Linked DNA regions of Mus musculus: region 1 is reported to be linked to region 2. The links are microRNA targets in miRTarBase. Many come from high-throughput screens and were not tested one by one. Region 2 holds a microRNA gene; the other region holds the end of a gene's coding sequence.

What was found. The annotated mature microRNA mmu-miR-331-3p reads GCCCCUGGGCCUAUCCUAGAA and lies in region 2 at 1,773-1,793, shown strand. An mRNA with a match to its seed (bases 2 to 7 or 8) in the 3' UTR can be bound and repressed. Matches are read on the target gene's strand: a 7mer-m8 pairs with bases 2 to 8, a 7mer-A1 pairs with bases 2 to 7 and ends in A, and an 8mer does both.
Region 1: the mRNA of Hectd3 is a reported target of mmu-miR-331-3p. Seed matches in the 3' UTR shown: 7mer-A1 at 1,848-1,854.

Annotation. Positions count from the first base shown.
Region 1 is chr4:117,002,435-117,009,555 of GRCm38, forward strand. It overlaps Hectd3 (HECT domain E3 ubiquitin protein ligase 3), which reads left to right. Exons shown (of 21, transcript NM_175244.4): 17 at 76-205; 18 at 303-377; 19 at 500-581; 20 at 685-756; 21 at 848-2,843. The coding sequence ends at 932. Among named protein-coding and RNA genes, the nearest start is that of Hectd3, 11 kb to the left of the region's middle.
Region 2 is chr10:93,958,455-93,965,575 of GRCm38, reverse strand. It overlaps Mir331 (microRNA 331), which reads left to right and starts at 1,713; the gene lies at 1,713-1,808. Vezt (vezatin, adherens junctions transmembrane protein) reads left to right here. Exons shown (of 12, transcript NM_172538.5): 12 at 1-4,054.

The sequences.
Region 1 (7,121 bases), not on the chromosome of region 2:
TGAGTACAGAGATGCCCCAGTGTACGCTGAAAGTAGTGTCCAACTTTCCCAGGCAGGCTTCTTCCTCCTCCCTAGGTGGCAGCCATGCAGGCAGGTCTGCTGAAGGTGGTACCACAGGCTGTGCTGGACTTGCTGACCTGGCAAGAGTTGGAAAAGAAGGTGTGTGGGGACCCAGAGGTCACTGTGGATGCTCTGCGCAAGCTCAGTGAGTTCTAGGCGATAGGGCAGTGAAGCCGAAGGGGCGGGGCTTAAGGACTAGCCCAGTGAGAGCTAAGCATGAACTCCTGCCTTGGCCCCTCCAGCTCGGTTTGAGGACTTCGAACCATCTGACACACGCGTGCAGTACTTTTGGGAGGCTCTGAACAATTTCACCAATGGTCAGTAGAGGGCAGAGTGCTGCTTGCCTTGCCTTGGGACGTGGCTTGTGGATTGAAGAGGCGGGCGGGAATTTATAGAGCTTCCTTCATCAGTGCAAGCCTTAATTTTCTTCTCCACCCAGAGGACCGGAGCCGTTTCCTGCGCTTTGTCACCGGCCGCAGCCGCCTCCCTGCTCGGATCTACATTTACCCAGACAAACTGGGGTGAGTATGAGTACAGAGAGGGGCAGAAGGTGCCCCCCACACACACATGCACGCATACGCGTCACTCCACAACTCATAATCCTTTGCCCTTCCCACCTTGCAGCTATGAGACCACAGACGCCCTGCCTGAGTCTTCTACCTGCTCCAGCACGCTCTTCCTCCCACACTATGCCAGGTGAGTCTCCCGAGGTGGGAGGGTGGTTGGCAGGGAAGGGCACCCTGGGAGCAGCAGAGATGCTGGACAGACCACCTTCCTCCCTCTGTAGTGCCAAGGTATGCGAGGAGAAGCTCCGCTACGCCGCGTACAACTGTGTGGCCATCGACACGGACATGAGTCCCTGGGAGGAGTGAGGCCGTGCCCTAAGCGTGTACGCTGCCCTCACCCACACCAGCCCGGTTTGGGTCTCAACAGAGGTGATGGGTTCAGAAATGTCAGCACAGTGGGCCCTGTACCTGAGTATGGTCTGGTCGCAGTGGGAGGCGTGAATTGACACAGACGCTCCAGTCCCCACAGACCCACGAACCCTACTGTGCTGGGGCTTGCTTCCCTAGGTATTTAGCCTTGGTGAGAGGGAATCGTCCACAAGCCCAGCACACGCTGCCAGGCCTGAGCTACTTGAAGGGGGCAATCTAGCTCCCCAAACAATGGACTATGTTTTGGTTTCCCCCATTCCTCTTTTTTTCTAGCTTCAGCCATGGCTCAAAATGTTTAAAAACTGGTAGAATGGTACTTTGAGCAAGGGGCCAATGACAGAGTAAGGTCATCCTCCTTGGTCACGGGTCCCTAAGAAAGAAGCCCCAGTTGAGACCCATCCCTTGCATACTAGCCTTCTTCTTTCCATAGCAGAGGTGTGTGAGCTTTGTTCTTCCAGAGGCTTGGCATGGACATCCGCTCAATACCCAGGCTTTACCAGCAGCCAAACTACTGTCTTCTGGATCATATCCAGCCCAACTCCATTGCTCCTTCACCCCCAAGAGTTCACAGCTGAGGGACCTTCTGTCCTCTCTGAAATTTCAGTGGTTGCTGTTTCCACACTCTAAAATAAGGCCTAGACGTTAAACTTCCTCTAAGGGTGGTGCACACCCTTCCATTACCCTCAAGAGCCTCCATGGCACTCCTGTAGGACGTCTTACATTGGGGAAATTGAATAAATGGAGAAATTCATTTTTTTAGAATGTGCTTTTGGGATCCCTGCTAAACTCATGGCACTCCTAGAAAATCGCTGTGTCCTAGAAGGAGCTCCGGGGCTGCCACCCTACTGATAGCAGGGGATGTGCGCCTGATGGGAGAGGTGGGCTTCACAGTGACACAGTGGGGCATCTGTAGCACAGCCTGGGAATGAGAGCTCAGACCAGAGGACAGAAGGCTGGGCTTTTGAGATGATTGTGGGATTCAGAGTCTGGAAGCTCACCTCCAGCAGCAAGTGAGCAGAATGACGGCACATGGAGGGTGAAGCTGGGGTAGCTGATGAGCACCCGGATCCTGATACACTTGGGAGCACCTGTCTGCCCCCAAATGCCACATATCTAAGGTCCAGAGACTCTAGCCCTGTCTTACCCCAAGTACTTCCACCCTGAAGCTCAATGCACTAGACGCCATCTTGGTGTCCTGGTACAGTGTAAACAGTCAGTTACCCATCAAAGCAGACTGAGCCCTAAAAATCTTTCCTAATGTGTCGTCTTCAGCTCACGGTGCCATTGAGAAAGCCTCTTCACATGGCTGTGTGCACGCCCAGACCTATCTTTCCCACACACTGAGCCTCCTGGGGCAGCCCCATCCGCCCATGTGCTTTGGGGGACCCACAGGAGACAAACATGAACACCCTCCCTCCCAGGGAGCCCCAGCACCTGCACACACACCCACCAAACTCTGCTTCTCAGAAAGCTCCCCTGGCTCTGTTGGGGAAGGAGTGCTTCCATAGTGTCTGGGAAGGGCCTTCCCTGCAGAAGCTGTGGGGTGCAGTTTGTCTCTATGCCCCCACACATGCCCTTAATAACTCTTTTACACCATATTTTTCAGGCTGCTTTGCATTTACTTATTCATTTAGAGATGAAGTGTGGAGTACAGATGTCAGGCACCAGCTGCAAAGCACCAAGGCTAAGTCGGTGTTTGCTCCAGAGCACACACTCCCCACAGAAGCTTGCTACATCTTTCTCATTAAGTAGCAGTGTAGAGCAAGTGTCTTCTTGGTGATGAATTATACTTCTAAGGGGATCCACTGAAATATTTTATTCTCTATTAAAATTTTATTTTTAAAATCACGTATATATATGGATGTCTATGGGGTGGGAGTGTGCGTGACTGTAGGCACTCAAGGAGACTGGAAAAAGGCATTGGATCCCATGGAGCTGAAATTACAGGCATTTGTGAGCCACTTGATGTAGGTACTAGGAACTAAACCCAGGTTCTCTGGAAGAGCTATAACTGCTCTTAACTGCTGAGCCAGTTTGCTCTTTAATAAGCCCGGAAACATTTTATTCTTTACATGACCCATCAAATGACTCATCTCTGAGACACTTACAGTCCTCACTTTGGTTTTGTTTTGAGACATGGTCTTGCTTGTAATCTTAGCTGTCCTGGCCTAAAACTCCTTATGTAGCCCAGGCTGGCCACAAACTTGCAGCAGTACTATATCTGCCACCAAAATGCTAAGGAACCCTTTCATGTGAAGGGTTTTCTGCCACTGCTTGCTCAGGGGCAACCTGTGGATGGCACTTGCTTTCCTCAGTAATGGAGGTAAGATCAGTCTCCGTTGCTATGACTACAGATGTGTGGTCGGTGACATGCAGTCAGCACTCCTGTGATCAGCTGTTTTCTCAAACCTGAGTGTGCTCAACTTCATTTCTCATGTTTTTCTCTGCTGCCCTTTCCTTGCCTTGGCCAGTTTGTCCTCTCCCTTACCTTGTGTGTACTACACACTACCACTGAGCCACACCCCCCAAATGCCCTCTCTTTTAATTATCTCATTCCTCGTTGGTTTATTCCTAGGAGACAAAGAAGCTTATCATAGAAGACAGGGTTTCTCTGTGTAACCCTGGCTGTCTTGGAACTCATTCTGTAGACTAGGCTGGCCTCGAACTCTGAGATCCTCCTGCCTTTGCCTCCTGAGTGCTGGGATTAAAGGCGTGCGCCACCACTAGAGGGGTTCAGACTCTAGAACAAAACAGCTGAGGTGCATATTTTACATCCAAAGCAGACCAGGCCTCCAGGTTCTCCCAGCATCCCTCAGTGCCTAACTGGCACACCCTACTCCTAACCCTGAACTTTCCAGCTCCGGGGCTGGGCTGCCCTTCCCCCAGAGTCTCTTCTATATATAATCCAGACATTTTGATTTCTTCTCTCTTCTCCCTTTCTCCTTTCTCTCTCTGCCCCCTCCCCTCTGTCTCCCTCCCCAAGATGACTTCCCTGGCCTGCTTCCTTGGGGCCAGTGAATTTGCCCACCCAAGTGCAGCTTCCCAATAAACCTGCCTTTATATTAATCTGTTTGAACTGGCTCATTTTCACTGGTGGAGAAATAACTTATCAACCACCATCCAACATTTAAACTTCTTTATAATTTAGGCTGCTAGGCCTGCTAGAATGTCAGCTCTACAGAGGCTGGGTCCAAGCCTTGTTCAGATAGATCCCAAGAGCCTAAAGCTGTCCAAGGGAAGGAGACTGAAGTGGGAGTCATTCCAAGCAGGCATCAGCTATAGGCACTGAGTAAATACTTGATGAATGAGTAAAATATGACCTCAAAATCATATTTTCCAATCTTAAAAAAGGGGAAAAATCAACTGTCTGAAACGTGGTTTGGGATAAAAGTGCGAAATCACCAAATTAATCAAATTACTTCTTTAAAATCTGGCCCAGCCGGGCGTGGTGGCGCACACCTTTGATCCCAGCACTTGGGAGGCAGAGGCAGGCGGATTTCTGAGTTTGAGGCCAGCCTGGTGTACAGAGTGAGTTCCAGGACAGCCAGGGCTACACAGAGAAACCCTGTCTCGAGAAAAAAAAAAAAAATCTGGCCCATCAGCTTAGAATACCAATGTCTCCACTGTCCTTCAAAGCCAATGGTGGGAATTCTTTGTGTTTGAAGGAGTCCTAGTTACTGGAGTTCCTGCCAAGCGTTTTATAGTAAATGAAGCAGCAGCTGCCGCTCTCTCTGACTTACCAGTCCCCACTTGGGCAGTCACCAGGCTGATGTGCAACAGCTAAGTTGGAAGTGCTGTAGTTCCTGCAGTAAGTGGCCAAAGCAGTTTCTTTTCTCATTTCTTTCTTTCACTCAGTGCTCTTAAAATAACAATTCCTCACCACACTGACAAGCCCACGGCCAAATGGAATATTATGAGGTGGCCAGCAAATTCCCAAAGAGAGTTCTCTAGCAGACTGTGGGAAGAATATCTGTGAGCCCAGACCCAACTTTTGAAAGGTTTCTTTTGTGTCTCACATTGCAGAGGATTGCCTTCTGAGCCTACCCCATCCCACACATATGCAGTATGTGTGTGAGTACACGACAAACACAAACACGTGGGGGTAACCTACCCCACATGTATCCTATCGACTGGCTATGAAGGAGTGTCCCTGCATTCTCAATTGGTCATTGCTGTGCAGACAACACCAGGTTTTTGTTGTTTCCTCACCTGCCCCAAAAGAAGATTCTCAGAGAGAATCATGTTAAAAAGTAAGCTGCCTGCTGGGGGGCTCACAGTAGCCCTCAGACCAGCCTAAGGGCGGGCAGCGGAAGAGATGGTCAAGTGTCGTCCTGCTGCTGATTGGTTCACAGTGACTAAGCTGTGATACCTCTCCCACCATACTAATAGGGCTTTTTGTATGCTGGCTGCTGATGCTGGGGAGGGGGATTTAGCAGAACTGGAGCAGGGCAGGGAGGTGGAGCAGAGAGAGCCACAGCCACATGGAGAGAGGGACAGTGGCAGGGAGGTGGGCTTGAGTCTAGATAGGTAGCTGAGCCTCCTTGTCTTTATTATTAAACCCCAAGCGGGACCCACAGGAGCCCTCAACTCTCTGAAGACAGGATTTCTTTGTGTAACATCCCTGGCTGTCCTGGAACTTGCTCTGTTGACCAGGTTGGTCTTGAACTCACAGAGATCCATCTGTCTCTGCCTCCTGAGTGCTGGGATTAAAGAAGTGCACCACCACACCTGGCAGAACAACTCATTTCTTTTTTTTTCTTTCTTTCTTTTTTTTTCTTTTCTTTTTTGAGACAGGGTTTCTCTGTATAGTCCTGGCTGTCCTGGAACTCACTTTGTAGACCAGGCTGGCCTGGAACTCAGAAATCCGCCTGCCTCTGCCTCCTGAGGGCTGGGATTAAAGGCATGCACCACCACGCCCCGGCGAACACCTCATTTCTAATTTGCATTTACAAAGTGCCTCCTGTATGCATGCTATATACTAATATGCATGAAGCTACACACAGGGGAATAACATGAACTAACTTAGAAGGCAACTTGAAAAGAAGAGGTAACGGTGGCCTGGGCTTTTGGTCTAGTTTTTCTATCACCAAATAGGATGTTGAAGGAAAATTCCAACTAATTAAATATACTTTACTTAGCACATCTTGGGTCCTGGGAAGAATGGAACAAATAAAATATAGCCCTTATCCAGTGTGATAAAGGGACATGAAGAGGCCTGGAGAGATGGCTCAGCAGTTAAGAGCACCAGCTGCTTTTCCAGAGGACTTGCGTTCAATTCCCAGCACCCACAGGATGGCTTACAATCATTTGTAATTCCAGTTCCAGGAGACCCAGTGCTCTCTTCTGGCCTCTATGGATACCAGGCATACATGTAGGCAAAACACGCATACACATATAACTGAAAGTTTTTATTGATGTGGGTATTTTGTTTGAGATGGTTTTTCCATGTAGCTCTGGCTGTCCTGGAAACGCTCATGTATTACATCCTGACCACAGTTTCCCCTCCCTCTTCTCCTCCCACTCCCTCCCCTCCCACCTCCTTTTCCCCCTAGATCCTCCTCCTTTTTCCTTCAAAAAAAACAAAACAACAACAACAAGCCAGTGTCCCAGGGATATCAATGGGGCACAGCATAACAAGTTACAAGACTAGGCACAAACCCTCATTTCAAGGCTAGACAAGGCAACCCAGTAGGAGGAAAAGGCTCTAAGAGTCAGAGAAGCCCCACTCCCACTGTTAGGAGTTAGTCCCACAGAACACCAAGCTGCACAGCCATGACACAGATGCAGAGGACCCAGCTCAGAGCCATGCAGGGTCCATGATGGCCACTTCAGTCTTTGGAGCCCCTATGAGCCATACTTAGTTCTGTGGGCCGTGTTCTTGTGATGTCCTTGAGCCCTCTGGCTCCTATGATTCTTCCTGTCCCTCTTCCATGGGATTCCCCCAAATTAAAAAAAATTAAATATTTTAAATGTTACTTTCATTACATCTTGTCCCCAAGTACATGCCTTTTAAATATTCCATGTGGTGAAATTGGATGTATGTGTATGACTTCTGTGCATACAAAAGAAACAGAACAATTAGCTCCAAGAAAAGCTCTTTCATGATTGAGTTGCAGCTGAAATGGC
Region 2 (7,121 bases):
AACATCTTGCCTTCTCTAAAGTTGGTTCTATACCTGTAACTCTTTTGCAGTGATTACTGTCATATATACTTTCCATTTGAATTGGAAACCACATGCTGTCCTGAATTTCTTTGGCTCTCTTATTTAAGATAAATGCGTCTTCATTTCCAAGACAAAGTAGATTAAGCCATGGAAAATAAGAAAACAATTATTGAAGATATCTGAGAAGTACTACAATTGTAGAACCTAGGCCACAAAGAATAACATGATTATGAAAGACCATCCACGCTGACAGCATCTTTGCTTTCTTTAATTCAGCTAAAGGAAGTGAAGTATACATTAAAAGTTTCCCATGATTCATCAGTGTTAACTCAGTGGCAGAAGATCCACTGTCATTCAGTAGTTGGCATGCCTAAATTAGCCTTCAGTGTATAAAATAAGCAAGATTACATTTTCCAATAATACTAGACTGTCTAGAAGTGGCTCTCCTAACATCTGCTTAGTTGTACCGTTTATGTGCTGTGCTTTGCTAACCATGGGACTCGCTGTCATCATATACAGAGTGAGTAGTGTGTCAGTCTATTTTATTCTCATGCTTCATGGAACTCACTCTCATTACATTCAGCGTGGATGCTGTATCAGACTTTCATAATCATGCTTCATGTGGCTGCTCTCCAGTTACCCATGTTATGGAAGGGAATTATGATATAATAATTGTAAGAAGAATGGTCCAAACCAGTTCCTTGTATTGACACCATTGTAGAAGAGACAGTGATGGCAGACATGATTGGTGCTTCTCTCTGAGTAAGCTGTTAGAGAAGCACAATTCTACCCAGTGCAATTGCTGTAAACCAAAAAGAAGGAGTTCATACCGGGGTTTACATAGGCAAGATTCAGCAGGAATTAGGAGGAATTAATTTCATACCTATCTTTAAATGTGTGATCAAATCTAGGTGTAGTGGCACATACCTTTAATCCCTGCACTCTGGAAACAGGCAGGCATATCTCTGATTTCAAGGCCAGCCTGGTCCACATAGTGAGTTCCTGACTGGCCAAGGTTTATATATATAGTGATGATTGTGTGATAGATTCTAATGCCCATGGTGTCTTTAAAATGCAGTCCATTAGAATCCACTTTAGTGTGTCAGCAGTGACATTAGTTTTATCCCTGTGTACTGAGATTCACTTAGCACATATGTTGCTCAAGTGGAAATGATGCTTAGGGTGTGTATACTTCTGATTATACAAGCTGAAAAATTGGACTACCTGTAGATAATGCTAAATAGATATTTTTTCTCACTTATTTCTTAAGAGTTTCTTAAAATAGATAGTATTATTTTAGGATTTATAACAGTTTTATAACATGTCCTAAAGACTGACTACATACAAATAAGTTTATTGTTGCAAATCTCTTCTAAAACTAAAGTATGTCCTTTGTAAGTTTGCTCTTTTACAATGACCTAAACAACTTCTTAGCCCGCTTTTCCTTCCAAGTTAAATGACTAAATTGACTCTGATTCTGAGTCCAAGTATGTTCTGCATTTTTCTGTACCTTCTGTTCAAGTCTGTGACTTAAAAGTGCTGAGGCACAGTACTGGTGTGTGACAATATATAGAAGGCTCCAAGAATGTCACTCCTATCCCTTAAAGGTTGGTGTGTGGCCCTGATCCAGCCCTGGAGGCCCACATGGGTGAGAAGCCCAGAAGCCCATGCAAGCTGAAAGCACTCCCAAGGAGTCTGGTTTTGTTTGGGTTTGTTCTAGGTATGGTCCCAGGGATCCCAGATCAAACCAGGCCCCTGGGCCTATCCTAGAACCAACCTAAACCCGTGCATCATTCCTGGAACACCCAGAGGATGAAGACCGAAGATAACTGAGGCTGACTACACATCCTGTACTCACCAAGATTCAGTTCTTATATATGTACCTATTGTTTAGCAAGCCCTGGCTGGTTAATCTGTCTGGAGTCAAAATAACAATATTTGGTAATAACAAAGTCTCCCGAGGCTGATACCCCAGTAGTTTCCTATGGTAGAAATTCTATGTGGTTGTTATTAATTCCCAGTGAGGAGAACTGGTCTTGTGATTTTTATCGTCAGATAAAACTGATTTAAATGTCTATTTTAAAAAGCAGCAATGTAGCCACAAAACCGTTCTCAAAACAGCCTTCTTCCAAACTGGACAAATTGTCTTTTCTTAACTACTTCCAGTGATGTCTAACCAGTCTCTGTCAGCTGTATGCTTTATTGGCACTTTCGGAACGGCAAGCATCTGTCTTCGTCTTCCCACTCTAATGCTGAGTGGCTCTAAGTTCTTGTTTCAGAAATTAGTATGTTTTCCCTGTCACTGGGTCTGCTGCGCAGCAGAGCTCCTTTTAAGGTTTCTGTGGCTCAGGACCATGAGTATGGTGAGGTAGTAGATGGTTAAGCCCGTGGATTTTGCAGCAGTATTGTGCAGAAGAAAATTTTAAGAACTTCAGTTTTCTTCCTGATCTAATAAATATATGTTATGACCTCATAATCTAGCTGGCATTACTAGAGTCAACTGTGTGTTTATTTGTTTTGATTTGGAAGACAAGAATTCTGAAAATGCATGAAGACCCAAACTGAAAAATTATGGTAAGCATTGACAATTTATGCTTTTGATGTTTTGTGCAGACTAATAAACTCTCCATACATAAGGAACTCAAAATCATGCATTCCTACCAATCTTTATCACACTACCAAAATTTACGTCACCCAGTCACAGTTCCAAATGGGCCTGGCGCCTATTGAGGCTCACCCGAAAAACTCAACTATTCTACACCATATTCATCCCATTTCTACCCCAAGTTTATGGGAATTTTTTTTATGCCACAGATTGAGTTTTGTGCTTCTCAGTGTTTTCTTCCTTGGAGTGTGTGCCTCATGAACACACTTACCTAAGAGATCAGCATTGCCTAGAATCCATGTGCACACACCAGGTTGATGTGTAATATGTTTTGTGAGTATTTTGGGGGCATTATACTCATTTACATCATAAATAGAGACCAAAAATAGAAATTATGGACTGTTTAATTAGGTTTGTTTTTTTGAGTCAGGACCTCATACCCTAGGTTGGCTTTGAACTTGCTGTATAGCTAAGGTTGGCCTTGAACTTCTGACCTTCCTGCTTTTACCTCCCAGGTTCTGTTACTGTAAGTGTGTACCACAGACCTGGCTCTGTATTTTTGTTGGTGGTGGTGGTTTTTGTTTTTGGTTTCGAGGCATTATGTAACTAACAATGACCGGCCTGGAACTTGCTGATCTTGAGCTTCTGACAATCCTCCTGCCTCCACCTCTAGAGAGCTGAGATTACAGACATGCGCCACCATTCTTGGCAAGGTTTGGCTCTTGAGTAAGGTTTTAAAGTATACTCAGTGGTAAAGCACTGGCTATGAGGTCTAGCTCTGAGACCCTCCACCTCCAAAGGGCCTTGGGATGGTTACTAATCTTTATATACTAGAACTTTGAACTCTCAATTCCCTACCCTAACTGAAGACTTATGGTTATAAAATCTGGGCCGGAGGGTGCTTTTTTGTTTAATTGCGATAAAGCATCAAAATTTTCACCATTGCCACCATTTTTATGTTCAATTCAGGAAATGCCTGTGCCTTTAATGAAGCGTTTGCAGAACTTTCAATTGTGCAGGTCTTAAAATCTTCTATGATTAAGATAAGAGTTCTCCTTCCTCCCTCTCCTTTCCCACAGCCCCTGGCAGGCACCATTCTGTCTCCTGTTATGACCGCAAGTTCATCTCATTTAGCATGTGACAGAATTTCCTTTTTTAGGGCTGAATAATCTGCACATTTGCTAGATCTTGTGGATCATTCATCGACTGGCGGGCATTGACTGCTTCCCTCTCTTGGTTATTATAAAGGATATTGCTATGGATATGAGCAGGTATCTCCTTTTTAACGTGGTACCTTATTAATCACTTTGCTGTATCGCATTACCTTGGCAACTATTTTAAAGCGTTAGAATTGTAGGCTTGCTTATGCTGTATAAACTGTTCCTCCTAAGCTTAAAGGATCTCTAATAAAATCTCAGATTCCCTGTATACTTGTGTGTGTCCCTTTTTTACCCTCCTGTTTGCAACATGGACTAGTTCCTCAAAGGAAGAAGTCTTTCTCTCTTCCTCTAGTCGATACTTCTCTTCCTTTACAGGATTTCCTAGCACTTGATGCAAGATTTCAGAAGATGCTATTGCCTGGGCAATCCTTTGAATCATTATCCCAATTTTTGCTTGTTAAGCACCTGGTGATAATTTATCAGAGTGAAAAAATAATGGCTTCATTTTAAATTATACAGGTTTTATAGTTGTTACAGTTTTGTTTGCTTGGGGTGTTTTTGGTTGATTGACTGGTTGGGTGGGTGGGTGGTTGGTTGGTTGGTTGGTTGGCTAGATGGTTGATTGATTGGTTGGGTTGTTGGTTGGTTGGTTAGATGTTGGTTGGTTGGTTGGTTGTTGGTTGATTTGTTGGGTGGGTGGTTGGGTGATTGGTCGTTTTATTTTGAGACACTACATCACTGTAACCCAGTTCTGGCATCAAAGCCCCAGCCATCCTCCTACCTCAGCTTTCTAACTTCCAAGAATTATAGGTATACACCACCACAGTGCCTATTTTCACCATTCCCTCTGGATACTGCAGGTTGCATGTTACCCCCTTGACAGAGAGGAAGTTAGTATTCAATGGTTCAGACTTTGTCTTAGGATATCCCTGGGAGCCTCAGAATAGTTCTGTAAATGAAATGCTGGTTAAGGAGAAAGTGGTCTTTCTTGGAACTTTCTAAAAGATAAACTACCTTTCTCCAGAAAATATTTGATCAAAGAAAAAAAGTACCCTAAAAAAGCAAGTTTTGAAACCTGTCTAAGACGTACTGGTTAAAGGTGTGATGTGATGTAGGATTCTGAATTCACTGGGTAGGAAGTACCCATGTGGTAATCATTGTCTTCACAATTTACTTAGCAGATGTGCTGTAAACATTGAAAAATAAAGTTGGTGAAGAGTAATTTTCATCAAATGCACATCTGGAAAAAAATTAATAAAACATTTTCAGAATGTAATCCTAACAATGGCCCTATTGGTTTGAAAGAAAAGCTTTACCCTAAAACTATTAGTGGTCATACATGTAGAACAGCATACATATTTCTAGAATCTGAGTTTGAGGTTTAGAGCTAGGAAAGCAAGCCCAATAGTTGTCTCAGTCACACATTCAAAGTGGTCAACTGATGTGCTAATTAAGTTAAAAGATACCAACATGTGCTTGCTTTAGCTTACAGCTAACCACTAAGACAGTACAGAGCCCTTGCATTTGGAAATCAGTAGATTCAAATTATAAATAAAAAGAGAACTATGCAAATTGTGTAACCATATTGAGTCACTTGTATTTTTAAAGGGGGTCTCATTATTATGCTTTATGACTTAAACTAGACCTCTAAAATTATCTTCTATTCCAAGCAGTTTATCTGGGGCTTTTTCCCCCATGGGAACGTGCCAGAGTGCATACAAGTGCACCATGTAAGTTCAGGAGGCTGTGGAGGTAGAAGGTGTTAGATAACCTAGGTCCTGGAGCCACAAGCAGTTCTGAGCTTCCATGAAGGTGCTGGCGACTGCTTCTGAATCCTCTTCAAGAGCCTTACATGCTTACCCACTGAGCCATCTCTCCAGCCCTGTTATCCTAACTATTAATAAAGAGGTGTAGCTTTTGAGTGTCAAGGCAAGGTTATTATCCCACACTGAGGGGTAAGAGAAGGTGAGTCTTGAGACACAACAAACAACTTGTTTTCTTTCTCAACTTTGGGTTAGGGTTTATTCCTTTTAAGGGAAGCAGGAGAAGACAGTCATTAAAACTCTAAAAACATGTTCTAACACAGACTTTAATGGCTTTAAAAACTAAGTATGCTTTATGTCTTCAAGCACCGAGAGCCGGAAATTCTTAGAAGTGTGTAAACTCCAGAGGAGTGAGTGATCATTTTCCATATCTCTACAGTAATTCTTTCCCTTTAGACTATATGACCTTTTCATCATAAAGAAGTGTTACAATACAAGGTTTCCTCTATGGAAATAGAATTGTCTAGTTTATCATTTCTAAATCAGTAGAGTCTGTTTCCTAGGTCCATCTACATGTTCAATACAGGATGGATGGAGTTCTGTGTGGTACCTGGACCTAAAATACTTTGTCTTTAGCAGTATTCTTTAACACTCAAGCCTGGCTGTAAGCTGGAAAGCTGTGTATCATGCTTAAACTTAGAAAATGAAACTATGACAGAGGGCTAATAATACGTTGTTATTATTATAACCAATAAAAAAGCTATAATGCAGAACATGCATATGAGTAGTCTATAAGATCTAAAACACCAAACATTATCTTTTGTTCTGCAAACCAGGTTGGACTTTAACTCAGAAATACACTGGCCCTGCCTCTACACCTGCCCCTGCCTCTACCTTCTGAGTGCTGGGATTAAAGGTGTGTGAAACAGTATTTCTTAATAGGGCCATAAGGATGATGTTTACCCAGGATTTCTTCTCTCCTTGAACTTAAAATGCTTATATAAAGAAGGGAGGCCAGGTACAGTGGCACATGCCTTTAATCCCAGCACTCAGGCAACAGAAGCAGGAGGATCTCCGAGTTTGAGGCCAGTCTAGTCTACAGAGCTGTGTTCCAGGACAGCCAAAGCTCTTTCACAGAGAAACCCTGTCTAGAAAAACAAAACCAAAAATAGAAAACTGTATCTCAGTGAGTTCCAGGCCAGGCTGGTCTACAAAGAGTTCCAGGGAAAGCAGAGAGCTATATAGTGAGACCCTGTCTTGAAAAATGAAAGGGAGAGGGGTGTGATTGATCCAATGTGTATGCAAGCCTAGAGACTCTACTGCCTAGAGACTAGTAATAAAGGAAGGACAGTGCTGTAGTGTGGTTCCTACGAAAATACCTTGATAGTCATGCAGAGAAATGATAGACTGTGGAAAAAATACAAACCTTCAGATTCTTCAGGACAAAGCTCCCTGCAGATTCACACCAGCCTGACTGGCACTAGAGGGCTTTCTTCCAAGCTCCCTCCACTCCCACCCCTTATCCACAGTCCTCAGTCCTTTCTTCAACCAGTTGCATTAAATTAGCCCCCA